Drosophila melanogaster: one gene and its partner. The protein of the gene in region 1 interacts with the protein of each later gene in a pairwise test. Each region holds a gene or a part of one and is shown on either strand. Other genes may lie near its edges. The genes, in order: CG13168 and CG15549.

The links.
Region 2: the proteins of CG13168 (region 1) and CG15549 interact in a two-hybrid assay, tested with the Drosophila melanogaster proteins (one large-scale study listed by BioGRID).

The regions. Positions count from the first base shown.
Region 1 is NT_033778.4:12,250,017-12,258,327, forward strand, and holds CG13168 (uncharacterized protein), read left to right. Parts: upstream 1-3,975; 5' UTR 3,976-4,344; coding exon 4,345-4,348; intron 4,349-4,404; coding exon 4,405-4,999; intron 5,000-5,055; coding exon 5,056-5,205; intron 5,206-5,257; coding exon 5,258-5,591; 3' UTR 5,592-5,685; downstream 5,686-8,311. Other genes in the region: Vha36-2 (vacuolar H[+] ATPase 36kD subunit 2), read left to right, coding at 7,339-7,863, 7,939-8,311.
Region 2 is NT_033777.3:30,933,433-30,941,214, reverse strand, and holds CG15549 (uncharacterized protein), read left to right. Parts: upstream 1-4,707; 5' UTR 4,708-4,756; coding exon 4,757-5,170; 3' UTR 5,171-5,819; downstream 5,820-7,782. Other genes in the region: CG15550 (uncharacterized protein), read left to right, coding at 4,117-4,548.

The DNA of each region.
Region 1 (8,311 bases):
GTGCCTTGCATACAGAACAGCAACGGCAAAAGGACGAAAGCCAGAGAACAAACGCGGAGTTCACTACAGTAAAAAATCAGTACTTTAAACACCTCATAAACAGAAAAAAATGCATTGAAAATCAAGAATTTAAAGCTTCAGTTCTCAACACTCGAATTTAGGATAGAAACGATAACATACACACTTTTCAGATACTATAAACATAATTTATGTGTACTTTACTTAAAATACAATTTCGCTGGCATTTTGTATCGAGTTTTATTTTCGACTGTATCGCAAACAAGATGAGAAACCTGATATAGGGCTCTCCCACAGCGACTTCATTACAAAGTTTGCCAAATTGTGTAGGCGCTAAATGCAACAAATACACCAAACAATTTATTAACTTGGTCTGAAGAGATTTTCGCCGGCTTCGCGAGGAATCAGTCAGATGAAAGTAAGCGGCTGGGTTTACCACTAACAAGTGAATTTTGTTCGCCATTTTTTTTTCGCAACGCAATATCATCAATCATTTTGGCCCGGACATTTGCTGCTTTTGGCCTAAATTAAACAGGCAAGTCAGGATATGGGAGGGGGGAGGGAGACGGAAGTGAGGTTTGGCAAACAAACCCGGTGCACGTGCGGTCATTTTGTCGTTTATTGTTGACTTTGGTCAAACAGAAAATATATAATAAATACAATATTTGAAGATGATCACAGCCAGGCGATAGTCAGCACGTGCTGAAATATGTATGAAATAAAATATCCATCTTATATCATAATTAAGTATCTGCAAAGGTTCGCAGAAGCAGAAGCTACATGAATGTTGCGTGATGAAAATATGTAAGCAGAAAAGTAAACTTAATAGCTAATACAAAAATGCCTGTAATTGGATATTATTTGTATGTATTAAGTATGTAATTACTTTGGCATTTCTGCAACGGCCCCCATTTAGGAAATGTCAATATCTACGCTGATCCAATTAAAGTTTCTTGAAACTGTTTTTGCCCGGATTTCTTTGATAAACTTGCCAAGGTCCTGGAATCCTTGATTTGGATTTGCTGCTTGAATTTCAATTTCGTTTGTTCTCCAAGCGTAGCGAAAGCTAAATCTTTCCCAAACTTTTGATAGTTTATTAAATTATTATAAAAAAATGAGGAAAAAAATGCTCGCCAAAGCGAACAGAAACTTTTCTAATAGCAACAAAAATTTGAAACAACCAAGTCGAGTGGATGGGTAGGCTGGTTGGGTGGCTTGGCTTTGGCTTGGCTGGATACACTTTGTTAGCCAAGTTAACTCTTTGCAGGTTCTGAACGACAGTTTGTTCTGTCGCTCGCTTCACAGTTCAGAACATTCAAATTACAGAGAAGGTTGGCAAGTCAAACCAAACGGAAGCAAAAGCCAAAAGTTCTCGGGGCAACTTGAGTGCAAGTTGCTCCATAAAATGTGCCAAACATTACCAACTCAAAATACATGCCAGACTGCCTCGGAACAGATCCAAAAACTACAGTCCAAAAGTGTAACTGCCAAACGGAAACAAGACAGGGAAAAACCCAAAAAAAAGACAGAGAAATTACCAAAAAAAAACACCAAGAAAGCCATGAAAAATTCAGAGGAAAGTTGTCCAGGTGGGCGACAGGATTCAATGGGGCGAGAACTGGGCTGGGTGCCACTTCATTTGCCAGTGCGAGCGCTTCCTTTGGTCCTCGCTCAGGTGACAAAACCAGGTGCCCGGCCAAATGGATCCTGCGCGGCAACTGAATGCCTTCCGAGCACAATCGAGTTGTGGGAAAAGGAAACTATAACTGTACTGTACTCCGAGGCATAATAATCCTGTCCGTGGCTATAATTTACCCGGAAAAGCGCCTTCATACGAATGCTTTAATTCGTTAAGTCGCTCTTAATGAGAAGCCAATAGTGAAAGTATAACTTTGAAAAAATATTATAAGATGTTCTCGTTAAGTTTCAAGGTTTCTAAGAACTAAAAATCTAAATCTGTTTATAAACACTGCTCTTATAATCCCATCTCAAACTACCACAACCTAACACGAATCTAGATCTATTTTCTTTAAAGCGAAACTACCGCAAACTAAATTCGTATTTTATCGTGAAAATACCAAGCCATCCTGCTCAAAGGAAGACCAGACCCAGGGGCATATCTTTAGCTTCCGCTGGTACGAGACCCAACAACCTGACCTTCCCGATGGCAGCCCGAGCATTATAATAACACTTTCTCAAAAAGGTTCTTTATGGGGTTTCCACCCCATTCCATTCCATTCCCCATCCCCACCATTCCCTAGCCACGAACCACCACCCACCATTAAGCACAGTTAGTTAGTCGTTTCTTGTTTCTCGTTTCCCTTTCCTTGAGTCCATTGTTCCGCGGTATCTCCGCTGTTCTCGCCTCTCCCTCTCTGTCGCCCACTTCTGCGCGACGACTATGGCCAAAAGTAATCTTCCAAGGCAAATGTGAACCACAAACAAATTTATAGCTGCAATGCGGCCAGGCCGAGCATAACGGGCCCACATTTCTGTGAAATCTATGTGAGAGCAGATGTGCAGAGGGGATGGAAATGGAGAAATAGAACTCAAAAGGAAACTGTCGAGTGAGGACGACTATAAAAATATACAACAATACTGCCAAGGCAACGGGACATAATGAGCCAGGGCCAGACGGCCCGAAACGGTAAATGGTAAGCGGTAAGTCTCTAATCGGTTAACGGTAAAGCCGAGCTCAGCTGAGCGAATGTGGGCCACCAGCAGGAGAGCGAACCATTTTGGCTTTGGATTTTTGCTTTTGCCCTGCACCTCCTTTGCAGTACCGTTAGCGTTTTTCTGCGTTCGTGCTTTGCATGGCCATTTGTTACGTATACGTGTGCGCAAGACTCTCGTTCTCTCTGCAGACTTGCCTTATTTGGCTGCATACTGTAGGGCGCTCTCCCGTTACTCCTGAATTTCAAATTTCGATGCATAACTTGAGGCGCTCGCTCTCTCTTTCTGAATCTCTCTCTCTCTCTTGTTATGTCCCTTTTTACTTTACACGTTTTGCTGCACACTTTGAAAGCACATTCTCTCTTCTTGCTCTCTCTGCTTGTTTATGCGTCATTTCTTTTGGCTTTTTCTCACACATCTCTCTTTTTGCAAAGGCAACAACAAATATTATGTCTTGCTCAATTTTATTTTTCTTCCCTTTCATCTTGCCCTTCCTTTTTTTAGTTGGTTCGCATTGCAGCATTTTATTTGCTAGCTCATTTATGCAATTACTACTGCCTTTAGTTATAACATATTATATATTTATTCATTTTAAGAAAAAGTACTGACCCTTATTATATTATTACTTCGTCTAAGTAACTAAAATTTATTTAAAATTAAATTAGGTAGGATGTGCTGAGACTCCACTGTACTAGTGAATCCGATTTTTGGCAGATTGCAGCGAAGGGCTCCCAGATTACATTCACTCTGTGGCTCCCCCTTTCATGCCAGTTTCATTAGGTAGATTTTCCACCTGAGTGAGGAACATTTCACCACCACCACCAACCCCACCCACCAACATTGTTCTGCATTCACAAGTTCGTTTCATGCTCTTATGGTTTTCTTTTTTCCCAGCAAGCCCCTCTGCAGCGCATTTTCCCTCGTTTGCTTTGCTGCAGCAGCTTTCATTCATGCCACGTCAGTTGACATAATGCGACATGGCCACACACAAGCAACAAGCCACCCACCGAAGGCGAGCGCCCACCGCCCCCTAGAAAACCGCCCCACACTCTTCATTGTCGACTACTGCACTTGGCAAAAGTTTCTACCAGTCATTGCCATGAAAGTGCCATTCAAATTTACCGCCCCTCGCCACGCCCCCTTCTTCAGTTGCTCCTTGATCGAAAGGGTTTCTATTTGGTATATATTCTTTGGCTTTGCAACCAGGCAACACGGTCAACATAGCAAGCCATGTTTGTTTATCCCCAAAAACAATAACAAACTCGGCTCAGAATTCAAAAAGACCTCGACACAAGCATAGCCAGAAAATCGGAAAAACATAAATTATAGAAAAAACAAAAGAAGCATAGAAGTTAAGAATATTCAAACAAGTGAAATACGCTCAAGAACATTTAATGGAAAAAAAAGCTTCACTTTCCAGGTTGCGGCAGATTAATTGCACCTATCTGCTTTAACTTCGTGATTTCGTTAATAATAAATAGAAAATTCCTGTTGTATCCGAGAGTCGTTTAAATTAATACATTTTAAAAGAACCCGGCACACAATTATATCGCAAAAAGGAAATTTTGTAAAGTTATTAATGTCTGTGTAAACGAAAATCTTTCAATGAGGATTTTATATATGCGCCAGGATCCGTAAAGCTGCTAAGTAAAAATGGGTTAGTATAAAATGAATGTTTTAAGACAAAACCAGTCATATCCTTTTTCCTTCCAGATACCACCGCCGAACGTCAGGTGAGACTGGAAGGAGTGGAACGTGTGCTCAAGATGTCCCAGGAGCGCATCAAGATAGCGATGATCATACCGAAGCTGCTGGAGAATCCCGAGAAGTTGAAGAGCGTCCTGAAGGACACCTGCTATGAGGAGGTTCTCGAGCCCATCGATGACATGATCCGCCACCTTGGCAAGCAGAGTGGACGTTCCAAGCTGCCACATGACCACACCACCATGCGAATCGTGGACTTCTTCCTGGTCAACCATAGCATTCATCGATTCTTTCCGCACTTGAAGAAGAACCTAAACGAAAGGGATCGCCAATTGCTGGCCGCCTTTCACTTTCTCCTGGAGAGCGCCCACGTCCATCTGCACCGATCCTCGCGTAGCGAGATTACCAAGGAGCGAAAGCTCCATGCCATCTTTCATCAGAATGTGGACATCAAGAAGAAAATCAAGGAACTGAAGGCGAGCCTGGCCTTCCAGAAGGTGATTGGCAAATGGAAGACGGCCGCCAAGGGCATCTATCTGATGAAGGTCGAGGAGGATCTGGCCAATAAGAAGTGGCAGAACAACGTGGCCATTCAGAACGAAATGTAACTCGGATTTCTAGTTCTAGAAATTCTTATTTGAATATATTTACAAATTACAGTGAAAAGTGCCATCGCACGATGCGAAGCTACCACAAGAGCAGCATGGACAGGCAGAAGGAATTGGAGGAGGAGCTGCAGAATGCCCGGGAGAGCTACGAGAAGATGACCAAGAAGCATCTGGCCGAAGAGCACGAGCTGCGAAGCGAAAAGTAAGCTACAAATCGAGTAATTTATTATTTAAGTGCTCTCAATCCTTTATAGAAACAAATTGCTCCTGCAACTGCAGAGTATGCTTAAGAAGTACGATACCAGCCTGGGCGAAAAGATGCGTGAGAATTTGGTGGCGGAGGATCAGTATCTGGCTGCCAAGAAGGTCCTCGACGATTTTATGGTCCAGTACAGGCAGGAGGAGCGCATCTACAAGAACATCGTGGTCAAGCGAGAGGAGGAGGAACGTCGCGTGCAGCAGGAGAAGCTGGTCATCTTCATGATGAACCGGGCGGCGGGCAAGATTCAAAAATACTGGCGCAAGTGGAAGAAGGATCAGCGCAAGAGGAAGCGCCAGGGAAAGGGCAAGGGCAAGAAGGGAAAGTAGTGTCCCAAACCGGATCTCTGTATATTTCTACATTGTACAATTTATATGTAGAAATACGAATATATTCCAACCTTCTACTACTACTAACGTGTATATATGTATCCTGTTTTCTCATTATTTTTTAAAACTGTCACATGCTAAAAAGTTATGTTTGCTTGAGCTCATTTGTTGTTTGCAAGCTTTTGTGGCATGAAAATCACTAAGCATGCATAAGTACCCATGTATGCAAATTAATATTTCCATAAGAGAAAAGGCAAATGTTTACTCGCAATTAAATCGTGTTTACTTGGCACTTGACAACACACAGAAATTTTCTGGAATTTCTTATATATTCTAGAGTAAAGAAATGATTATTTCCTTTATTCAGCAAGGCTAACCAATTTTATTAAATATTTTTCTATTGAACTGCGATAAATTTCGCCTAAGACATTGTCAACGCGGTTTTTTCTATGGGGTCAGAGGGCGAAATGTGTGGCTTCCCTGCGATTGCGAAAATCCAAGAGAGAATGAAAACGCCTGGCAGAATGTTTACCCAACACGCACACACACACACACACACACACATACAGCGATGGAGGGAAAAGCCAAATTTTCATGTCTTGCGGGGCGAACGAAAAATGGCGCATTGCTGTCGTCGCCAAGCGACAACGACTACGACAACGACAACTACAAACGCTCTTTTGGCCCGATGTTTGCTGCATTGTTACTTCATTTTCATTCTCGTTTTCGTTACCTAGCCATCGCTATTGCCACACCATCACCCACCACCCACCGCCCAACGCCCAGCTCACACCGCACCACCAACCCTTGTGGCATGTCTAATTTTCCAGAGGTTAACATACTTAACTTGTTGGCATGCGTTGCAAATGCGCCAAGGCTGCGTTGCACCAAGCGGCGCCACATTGCGACAATTCGCTGCGGCAAAGGAAATCGTACGGCAGCTGGAAAATGGGCAAAATCGCCGTCCAATGGTGTCCAGTGGCCAACTGTCCAATGGGCAATGTGAAATCCCAGTGGAATGGTCAAACGTTCCGCATTGTAATTGCACACACACACGCATTCGCTGGTTTGCCGATTTGTGGACATTATCTTTAGCACAAATAACAAATGTATTATATGTGAATGATTCCATTTTCTAGGGATTAAGCTAATGTAAATTAAAACATCATTTTCGAGAGCTAAATAAAAATGCTGTTTTAAATATCAGGCATAGATAAGGCAACGTTGCGTATGCGTAATTTTCCATAGGCAACTATGCGTATGAGTAATTTAAAATGATTTTGGCGGATCAGGAATTTGTTTGGTATTTTTTTTTTCAATTATAGGGTTAACAATTCATTTAACTGATTGATAAATAGTTTAATTAGTATAATTACAGCCTAAAATAACTATTCATTTCTAATTCTTATTTTGGCAAGCACTAAAATTTCTTATTCATACAAAATATTTATAATATACACCACTGCATTCACTATACAAATTGAAAGTTTTGATAAGCTCGAAAAGAATTCAAGGGAGTAAATTTGTTGACTTTTTGCCGATTGAGTCATAAAATCCCAGCTAATTCATAGCACTCTTCCACAATTTTCATATTTATTCCATAAGCATTTGAAAACCTCTTATAAGCGTGGTTTTAAAAATATACATATGTTTTTATACTCACATCAGTAATTCGTTTGTAACAAAGTCTACAATTCGGCCAAATTCAAACTCTACGTGATCAGAGTCCAATTCCAAAGTCACCGCCATGGCCAAACGCGATATCCTGCCCATCTTTCCATCCCGCGCCAATTCGGTGATCATGAAGCAGCGCGTTTTGGCGGCTAGAAGGGGCGTGGGTCTCCTCAAGCGGAAGCGGGACGCCATCGATATGAAGCTACGCGAATTGCGTCGCATCCGCTTCGACCAGGACATGCACGGCGATGAGGCGATGCGCAATGCCATATTCTCGATGGCAAAGGCCAATCTTCTGGGCGCCGATTTCAAGCCGCAGATGGTAAGCCGCAGCCACGTGGCAACCGTATCGCTACGCCGCACGGAGATCAAAATTGTGGGCGTCAAGCTGAACACCCTGGAGCTGGAGACGAAGGGCGTGGGCGCTTTTCCGCTGGCTGGTCTCAGCTGTGGCGGTATGCAAGTGAGCCGAATCAGGGACTCCTATACGAAGGCACTCAAGGCACTGGTGGAGTTCGCCTCTCTGGAATACCAAGTGCGAATGCTGGAGGCAGCCTCGTTGCAGACCAACATGAGGGTCAATGCTCTGGAGCATGTGGTAATTATAATTAATTCATATGATCCATATGTTATCATGGATAATCTTCAATAAATATCACTTTGTATCCGCAAGGTAATACCCATCCTGCAAAATACCTATAACTATATATGCGGCGAGTTGGAGGAGTTCGAGCGCGAGGATTTCTATCGCCTGAAACGCTCCCAGGCGAAGCAGCTGGAGGCCAAGATGGCCTTCACCGAGCTGATCAAGACCAAGAACATGACCGACGAGGAGCTGGAGACCTACATAAAGCGAAACATAAATCAGACGCGTCCTCCAGCGGCCGACACACCCTTCGATCAGGAGCAGTTCGAGGAGCGTGAGGTGAAGCGGCGCATGCGGGAGGCCCGTCTGTCCCTAAAGCAGCGCCGCGAGCAGGAGAGAAAGGAGGCCATCAAGCGGGGCGAGCCCCCACCGCCCACATCCTTCATCACCACCCACGGAG
Region 2 (7,782 bases), on another chromosome or scaffold:
CATGTAAAGTGCCATTTTGAATATGAAATTTGATGCTTTTTTAAGCCCACCAGCCTGACCAGCCAGCCAGGAGCGAAGGACGAAAAGGAGCATGCAGATGCGGATTCGCATCCTTTGTTGACCCCGGAATATTTTATGGGGTAGCCGGAGCTGTTTTCTCATATTTTAATTACTTGCCGAATGCAGTGGACATTTTTCTCCATTGCGCCGCGTGTCTAATTTGGCCTCATCCATATTATTTTGCCAGATCCGCCCAGAGGCACACCCATTTGTACTCATTCCGTGGAGCGAGTTATGAGGCTCGGGGGCCAACTGCAGCTAATGGTGAGTCATGTCAGCAATTGCTCAGCGAGCCAAATTGCAGCTGGCCTACTCAACCCACGGAGGAGATCCAGAAAAAAGCCGTAAAGGTCAGAAAATCAATCGGCCAGCCGGCCAAAGCAACTAATTCATTTAAATCTAGCAAAATCTGAGAAAATCCCCGGCAACGACCTTCGGGATTTTAAGAGATTTCACGAATGTCAACCGAACGTTTCAACGCCAAAAGCGAAAGCATTCCGCCGGAGATGGGAGCGGACAGCCGGATGGTTGGATGGCGGACACGGAAAGGAATACGGCCAGGGCAGGGCCCAGCCCCGCCCCCCTGTTCATTCCACTGCCCTAAAATTCCGGGCCACGTTAAGCTAAGCAAGCAAATCACCCGGCCGCGCCACCCGTGTGAGCTTTTGGCTAAAATAGTTGGCAACACCACATTAAACAATGATGCCCACAGGCGGCGAGAAAGAGACGGGGCTTGTGCGGCCGAAAGAGAGGCAGCATGTGAGTAGAACGAGAGGGCGATTGCTGCTGTGCGTGAGCGAGAAAATGAGGCAACAGCAAAAGTCGCAGAACTTTAGCAATTTGAAGCTAATATGTTGACAATCTAGCCAAGGAAAGGAGCGGGGCAGGACGAGAAAAGGACGAGGACCACTGGCACCATCTATGGTTATGTGTATTTAAGTCACTGCCAAAGCCGCGCTGAGAAAGGGGCTCCGATGGGGGGTGCGAGAGGGGAAGAAAAGGACCTGCCAGTGATGATATCCACTCCCTGCGAATTTTTAACAAGAACTATCTAGGATATCCCTATCCTCATAGTACATACTTTTTAACCGTTCTCGCCATTGAAATGTAGTAATTTAAATCACATAAAAAAATATATAAGATTTCTTTGACAATAAGATAACATTTTTGCTTGGAATTCGACAAGAGATAGACCTTTGTGACACTAGTGATATGGTTTCGACTTTCACAATAAAAATAACATTATACTTGTCGCTTTAGTATAATAAAGTAAATGTGAGGTATGGCCTGGTTATCAAATTTCCTGACCGGAGACAACATAATTATTATAGAATAGATAGTGTCTACAAGTCTAACGATGAAAATATATTTTTCAGTCTCCTGACAGTTTTCAACAGTATTTTAACGTGATCATTAAAAACAAATACGTGATCGATTTAAAATAAATTTATATGGCTATTTTATTTGGGGTATTTAGTATACTAAGTAATATTTTTTTTAGAGATACTTCCTATAAACATGTCGACTTCTTGCTCACCTCTATGCTGACACATATTATTGACAAATTTCAGCGACTGAATGCGTGCTGTTGGTTTTCTTTCTTACGCTCGTATGAGTAACAACGCAAAGCTCCCAAAAGGGGGCGGAGTGGGAGTGGCCGGCGGAGCAATCCGGGGACAACTCGTAAAAAGTGGATTTTACTGCTTAACTGTGGCACATCAAATGAAACAAATGGAAAACGCACACAACACAGCCACTGGAGTCACGAGCGGAAAATGCGGAAAATGCGGAGGCAGAGGAGATCGCACGAGCTTTCCACATAAATTCGCCCGTCTTTTTTTGCATAAATAAAATAAAATGCAATATTTTCCGCTGCAACTGCAGGCGGCCCAAATCCCTCGCACAAAAGTCAGCAATCAAAACAGATTAAAATATGATTTGACAGCTACGAAAACAAATATAAATGCAGACTGCCATGCAGTCATATGGATATGGATATTCATGTCGCGTTCGCATTCACTTACAAGTTTCAGCCGATTTCAGTTGGCATTTCGATATTGTTTCCATATTTAACTAGAGCCCCCGTCAGGAGGCTCTGACTCCGGCTCCGGATCCGGATCTGGATATATCTTCCTGCGAAGAGGTAAGCCCGCGATTGCGCGATTGCCGCGTGCTGGCATTTTTATCAAAGCGCCGCCGCTGCCTGATGCCTATTAAAAATTTAAATCAATTTTCAATATGGATTGCGCATATCCTGCGATATCTTTGGCTGACACTTTTGTTTTATTATTACAATACCCTCGATGCCAGTTAAGTTCCTATCGTGCTGCTCAGCCGAACTGTCACTGTTTGCAGCTCGTATCTTCGCAACGGATGGCGATAGTCGCGGATTTGGTCGCTTTATGTTTTATGCGCCCAACTCTGTCCGGCTCCAACCCACCTGGTGGCCAAAAGCCAGGTGATTGCAATTATCAGTTAATAAGGACGACTAACTGACCCAAAGCAGATTTGCTGCAATTAGCCAGGCCGCAGGATTCTCGTTCGCAGGAGTGCGTAAGTCGCCAAAGCCCGAAATGCCGGGCAATAATTAAATTATCATTAACGATGTCGGTTTAGCAGGGTCACATGAAACCCAGTTAAGCGGGCACTTTGAGGGGTGTTCTCGAACCCCACCCCCTCACATAGTAACATAGTAGAGGGGAAACTATCCTGTTTTGGGGATCTTTATCAGGGTGACCCAATAATTATGACTTCTCTTCCAGTTGAGATATATCTACACTCGGTTATCTACTTTGAAATAGGTTAGCTTTTTCACTCAGATTTGTACATATTTGATATGAGACAGCTTAGATAATTTAAAATCAAATAATAATCATACAAATTCAAATAGCTTATATATCTAATGACGATAATAGTATTCGCATAATATGGCTTTGAATATGTAACATCCACTCATATTTCAAAAATCCTACGCCGAACCGCAAATCACAGATTTGCGCAGTTTCGACTAACAAATTGGAAAATGTACGAAAAGCAAACCGAAATGCCGCTAAATGGGTTCCGAATGTAATTGTATTTGCATTTGCATTTGGAGCCGAGAGAAGAGCACAACTGTACTTGGGGGCTGTGTGTGCTGTGCAAATCCACGCAAAATTCCCCAAATTCCGAATGGGTTGGGTTCAAATCGAATCGAGAGGGTTGAAGTGTGCTTAAATTCTCATTAGACGCATTAGTGGCGTTGACCAGCTGCCACGCCCACCGCCCGCCGCCGCCTCTTTGCACCTGACCATGCCCGAAATTCAATAATAATAATTGATTGCTTATTACAAACGCACTGCATATGTGTCTCAAATTTATGTGGATATTCTGCTGGTGGTGGGGAAGGGGGGAACGGGTGGAATTTGCTAATATTTACGCATTAGTTTATTTGCCGATGGGAGGTGGTGAACCCCCTGCCAAATCCACCCTGTAAATGCCAAATGACCAATGCACCTGTACGGCCCAAAATCATCATTAAAGTTTAATGTTTTCATTTCGGTTTGTGCACGCAGCAATTTTAATTATTAACTTTATAATTATGCAAAATCACGAATTACATTAGAATCACTTTGTTATGCCGATTTGGTTTACGGTCTCTTTGAGCGGTGAATCGAGTGAATTGCGAGCTGATTTGGCACTTCTAATCAAGACTCGGCTGCCATTCCCCATTCCCATTTGGCCACAATAATTAAGCCCTGTGGAATAATAACCGAAAGCAATAATAACAGAAGTTTAAACTTAACCAACTTTACATACGAATCTCACACTTTTAATATCTAGGGCTAAGTAAGTACGATTGTTTAAAATGAAAGTAATATAATGCAGTATAATATTTATTTTATATCAAAAGTCTTGTTTTATTTTCGAATCATTTGGAACATTTTTTAAAGACTCCCATTGGAATAGTTCTCCTCCCAATGGAATAGTTCTGGGAAAGGCCCGTCGTCTTTGCGATAAGTGGAGCCTATAAAGTCAGCTCCACGATTTCCAAAGCTTCAGTTGAAGAAATTCCGCGCAATGACTTACAAGATCGCCGTAAAGTGGTTCCCTATTTCGCTGGTGCAGGAAGTACTGGCAGCTCAACAGCCAGCGATATCCGAATCGTGGAGCTTTTCACTGGAATCCATACCCACCAAAGTGCTGATCATCTCCAGCGTAGTCCTGATCACTTGTATTTGGATAGGCTGCGCCTACTTCATGGCCAATCGCCATCAGAAGGCGGTCCAGTATCTTCAGAGCCAACTTGACGAACTGTGGCTGCTGCAGGCTAAGCCCTCCGTTTGGCCACATGCTCCCTTCATCCCAAATGCCCGGGAGCAGAATCCGCCGGAGTATATTCCGCCTATGGATCCCCAGGAGCAGGAACAGGAGGCCAACGAGGCGCGGGAGAGGGCAGAAAAAGCCAGGGCATTTTTGGAGACCAGAAACAAACATAAAGATAAAGAGTGAGATAAAACCGATTTTAAGTGGAATTATAAATATTAACTTTACAACCTTGCATATATATTAAAAATGAAATTATACAATACTTAGATAGTTTCCAACTATTTGCTTTAGTTTTATTAAAATACATGTTGCAGTCAGCACTGACTTAGCCTTAAATTTATTTGAGAATCCTCAAAATTCATGCTATTCGACGTGTGGCAAAAAGTGCAGTATGTTGGCCAATCTGTTGACCCTAAGCTGCCTTCTGGCCCAAATTATCCCTCGGATTTGGGGGCAGTATGCGGCGGTGAACTGCTCAGATCCCAGGATCGAACTGACATCCTGTGGCCGCTTCAGTACGAACGGGTGCTGTGCCAAGGGATGTGTGAGGAATGTGCGCGGAAGGTGCGTCCAGGAGGAGTGCACCGCATCCTGGAGCGGCTGGCTTCAAAGGCCAGTGACCATGAGCTGCTACTTCCACTGGTTCCTGCTGATCTTCGCCGGGCTCATCACGGCCCTCATGCTGGGCCTGGTGGCCTGCAACGCGGCCTGCGAAATAAGGCGCTACCTTCGCCAGCGGAGAATCGAGCGATTCAGGCGCTTCAGGGATCTGAGCGGAGTCTCCATTGGATCCACTCAGTGCTAGAGCACGTGTGAGCATGAGGTCCTTGGACTAAGGGGCTGGGAATCAGGAAGGAAGTGCCGAGGGATTTACCATAATCTGCAATACATTAGCGGCAGCTTTGCTCTGGATTCCAATTCAATTCTTTGGGTATCTCCGGCCAAAGCCATGTAAATTACGATTCGCCACCTCGGAAATCCTATTAGTAGTTAAAACCTGATTAGGAAATACTTGCGGCCGAGCCTCGGGCTCACATTTGCTGAAAGCAAATAATAATAAATGGCTCTCACATGCGAGATGCTTTGTGGATACATGCCCTCCAGGGTGACACCTCCTCCGGAGCAAGTCGAAGGTGGCGTGGAATTCAGATGGCTGTGGAGTCGAGTCAAAGGTGCAATAACCCAACCGAGCGGGGCACATAAAACTAAATGGCTGCGGGTTGCGTTGCCAGTCCTCGAAGTCCTTCCCAGACCCCGGACCCCGGTCCCGGATCACCAGCTCGCTCCTCTGCGGATTCAGTAGCTATTGCGGTGGAGATAACAACCATAAGGGTACACCCGAGGGCACTCAGAGAGGAGCGTTGCAAATAGGATTGTGTATATTTTGTCACAGCTTCTTTCTGTTTTAAGTGAATGAGAGACTATTAAAATCGGGAAACTAAATATTTTATTTCAACCTATAGTCTTTAGTCTCTAGTCTATTTCACAGTATTCGCTTTAATATTTAAAGCCCCTCTGCTTCCTAATAGTTCTTCGTTTTTTTTTTTTTTTTTGTTCATTTCCCCTGCTGTTCAGCTTATGTGTGCGAATATAAATGTATATATTTTTAGTATAACTGAAAGTCAGTCAGGCATGCAGCCAAAGCTAAACGCGCTGCCAACCGCGCAGAAAATGAAATGGAAAATATTGGCGGGCGGGGGAGCTGGAAAAGCGGAAAATAAAAAGGAAATAAACGAGCCAAAAAGGAAAAGCTTTGCGAAAAGGTTGCCCATGTGTGTGGAGTGGTGGGTGGTGGGGGGTCGGGCTGGGGGTCCCGGGTAGCAGATTTAGAGGTTGCTTATGTGTGATTTAGTACAGCATGCGCGAATATGGCGGCGATAATTCTTTAAAAATTGGAAATTGTTTTCCAATCGATTTCGCATTTAGCCAAAAAGCACTCAACACAAAGACACAAAGGGCCGCCAACGAGTGTCTTTTATAAACTTGTGTAGTTGTTCGGTTTCGGATTGGCTGGGCCGCACAAGCGGATTGAACCCATACGAGTGTGTATTTATATTTGATAAAAATGTATGAAAAATACGATATTTCGTTATTTTTCACCTGGCTGCAGCTTTGAAAAGGATTTGGCAGCTGAAATCATGGATTTGGATTTGGCTTTGCCATTGGCTTTCCGTGTAGTTTGTTTATTTTCCTGGCTTGTCAAGTGAAAAGCGTTTGAATGAATTTGAGAGAGGGAGAAAAGGAACATTTTGTCTGCTCAAAAATGTAGGGCAATTAAGTATGAACAATAAGATTACAATATCCAAGGAAATGAGGGGTATTTACTTAGATATTTCATTGAAATTCATTTGACACTAACCATCGCTGAATCTCCATTAATTAATATAGGTAATTTCTGCCTGTGCACAGATCAGAATCAAGGCTGGCCAACTGTTTTAACCACATCAACCGCCCATCCTCATTCAGCCAAGTTTATATAAAAGCGATTCTCATTTCTTGATGCCCGTAAGCAACCAAAACATTTGCTCGCATTGTGTGAGTCCTGTACAAAGGATACAATGGGCACAAAAGGTTAGATACACACACATAGCAGGGGGCGTGTTTCGGTTTTTTTGGGGTGGACCCAAGGACCAAGGAGCAAAATGCGGGGAGTGGGCGATTCGTGACATATTTTATTTGCACAATGACAATACGAGTTACTCGACAGGGGCAAACGTTGGCAGTGGCCGGGGCGGGGAGGGGGAAGGACATCCGCAACCCGCCATTACACAAACACACCCTCTTCCGTTTCCTCTGCCCTGCCACCCACACCAGCCCACAATTACAGTTGGCGTTGGAAGGGTGGCGGAAAGTGGGTGGGGTGAACAGAAGCAGTGGCGCACAAAGTAGTAAAATAAGTGCAAAGGATAATGCGAATTGAAATGACAAAACCCGGAATAATCATTGGCTCCACACTCTCGGAGATAACGAATGGGTGGGGTTCTCGAAGTGGTGGAGGAAGAGGCAGTCTCCGAATGGGGAACGCTGATAAGGGGCAAACCTTTTAGCGTTTTGCCGACGGCTTTCGCGCTCAGCTGCTTAAACATTTCATCAGCACCTAGACTGCTTCATAAAAAGTTAGTACGCAGATAAAACAAAAGTAAAGATGGCAAGTGTATTAAATGGAATGGTCTACGGAGTATTAGAAATCAGATGTGGCGTTTATTACCAAGTATTTGTAGGCGGTATAGGTGGTATTGCTTGGAATATTGACTTTTCGTGCGTTCATATAATTTTGATATTGAATAATTTTGAATGCAACAATGAATCAACAGCTCCTTGGCCTTGATTTCTTCAGCCATACTTATGGCTCTTAGGGAAATTAAAATGTGCTCATTTTGTTGCCAAGTCCCTGGGATTGCGAAAGCCCCCACACAC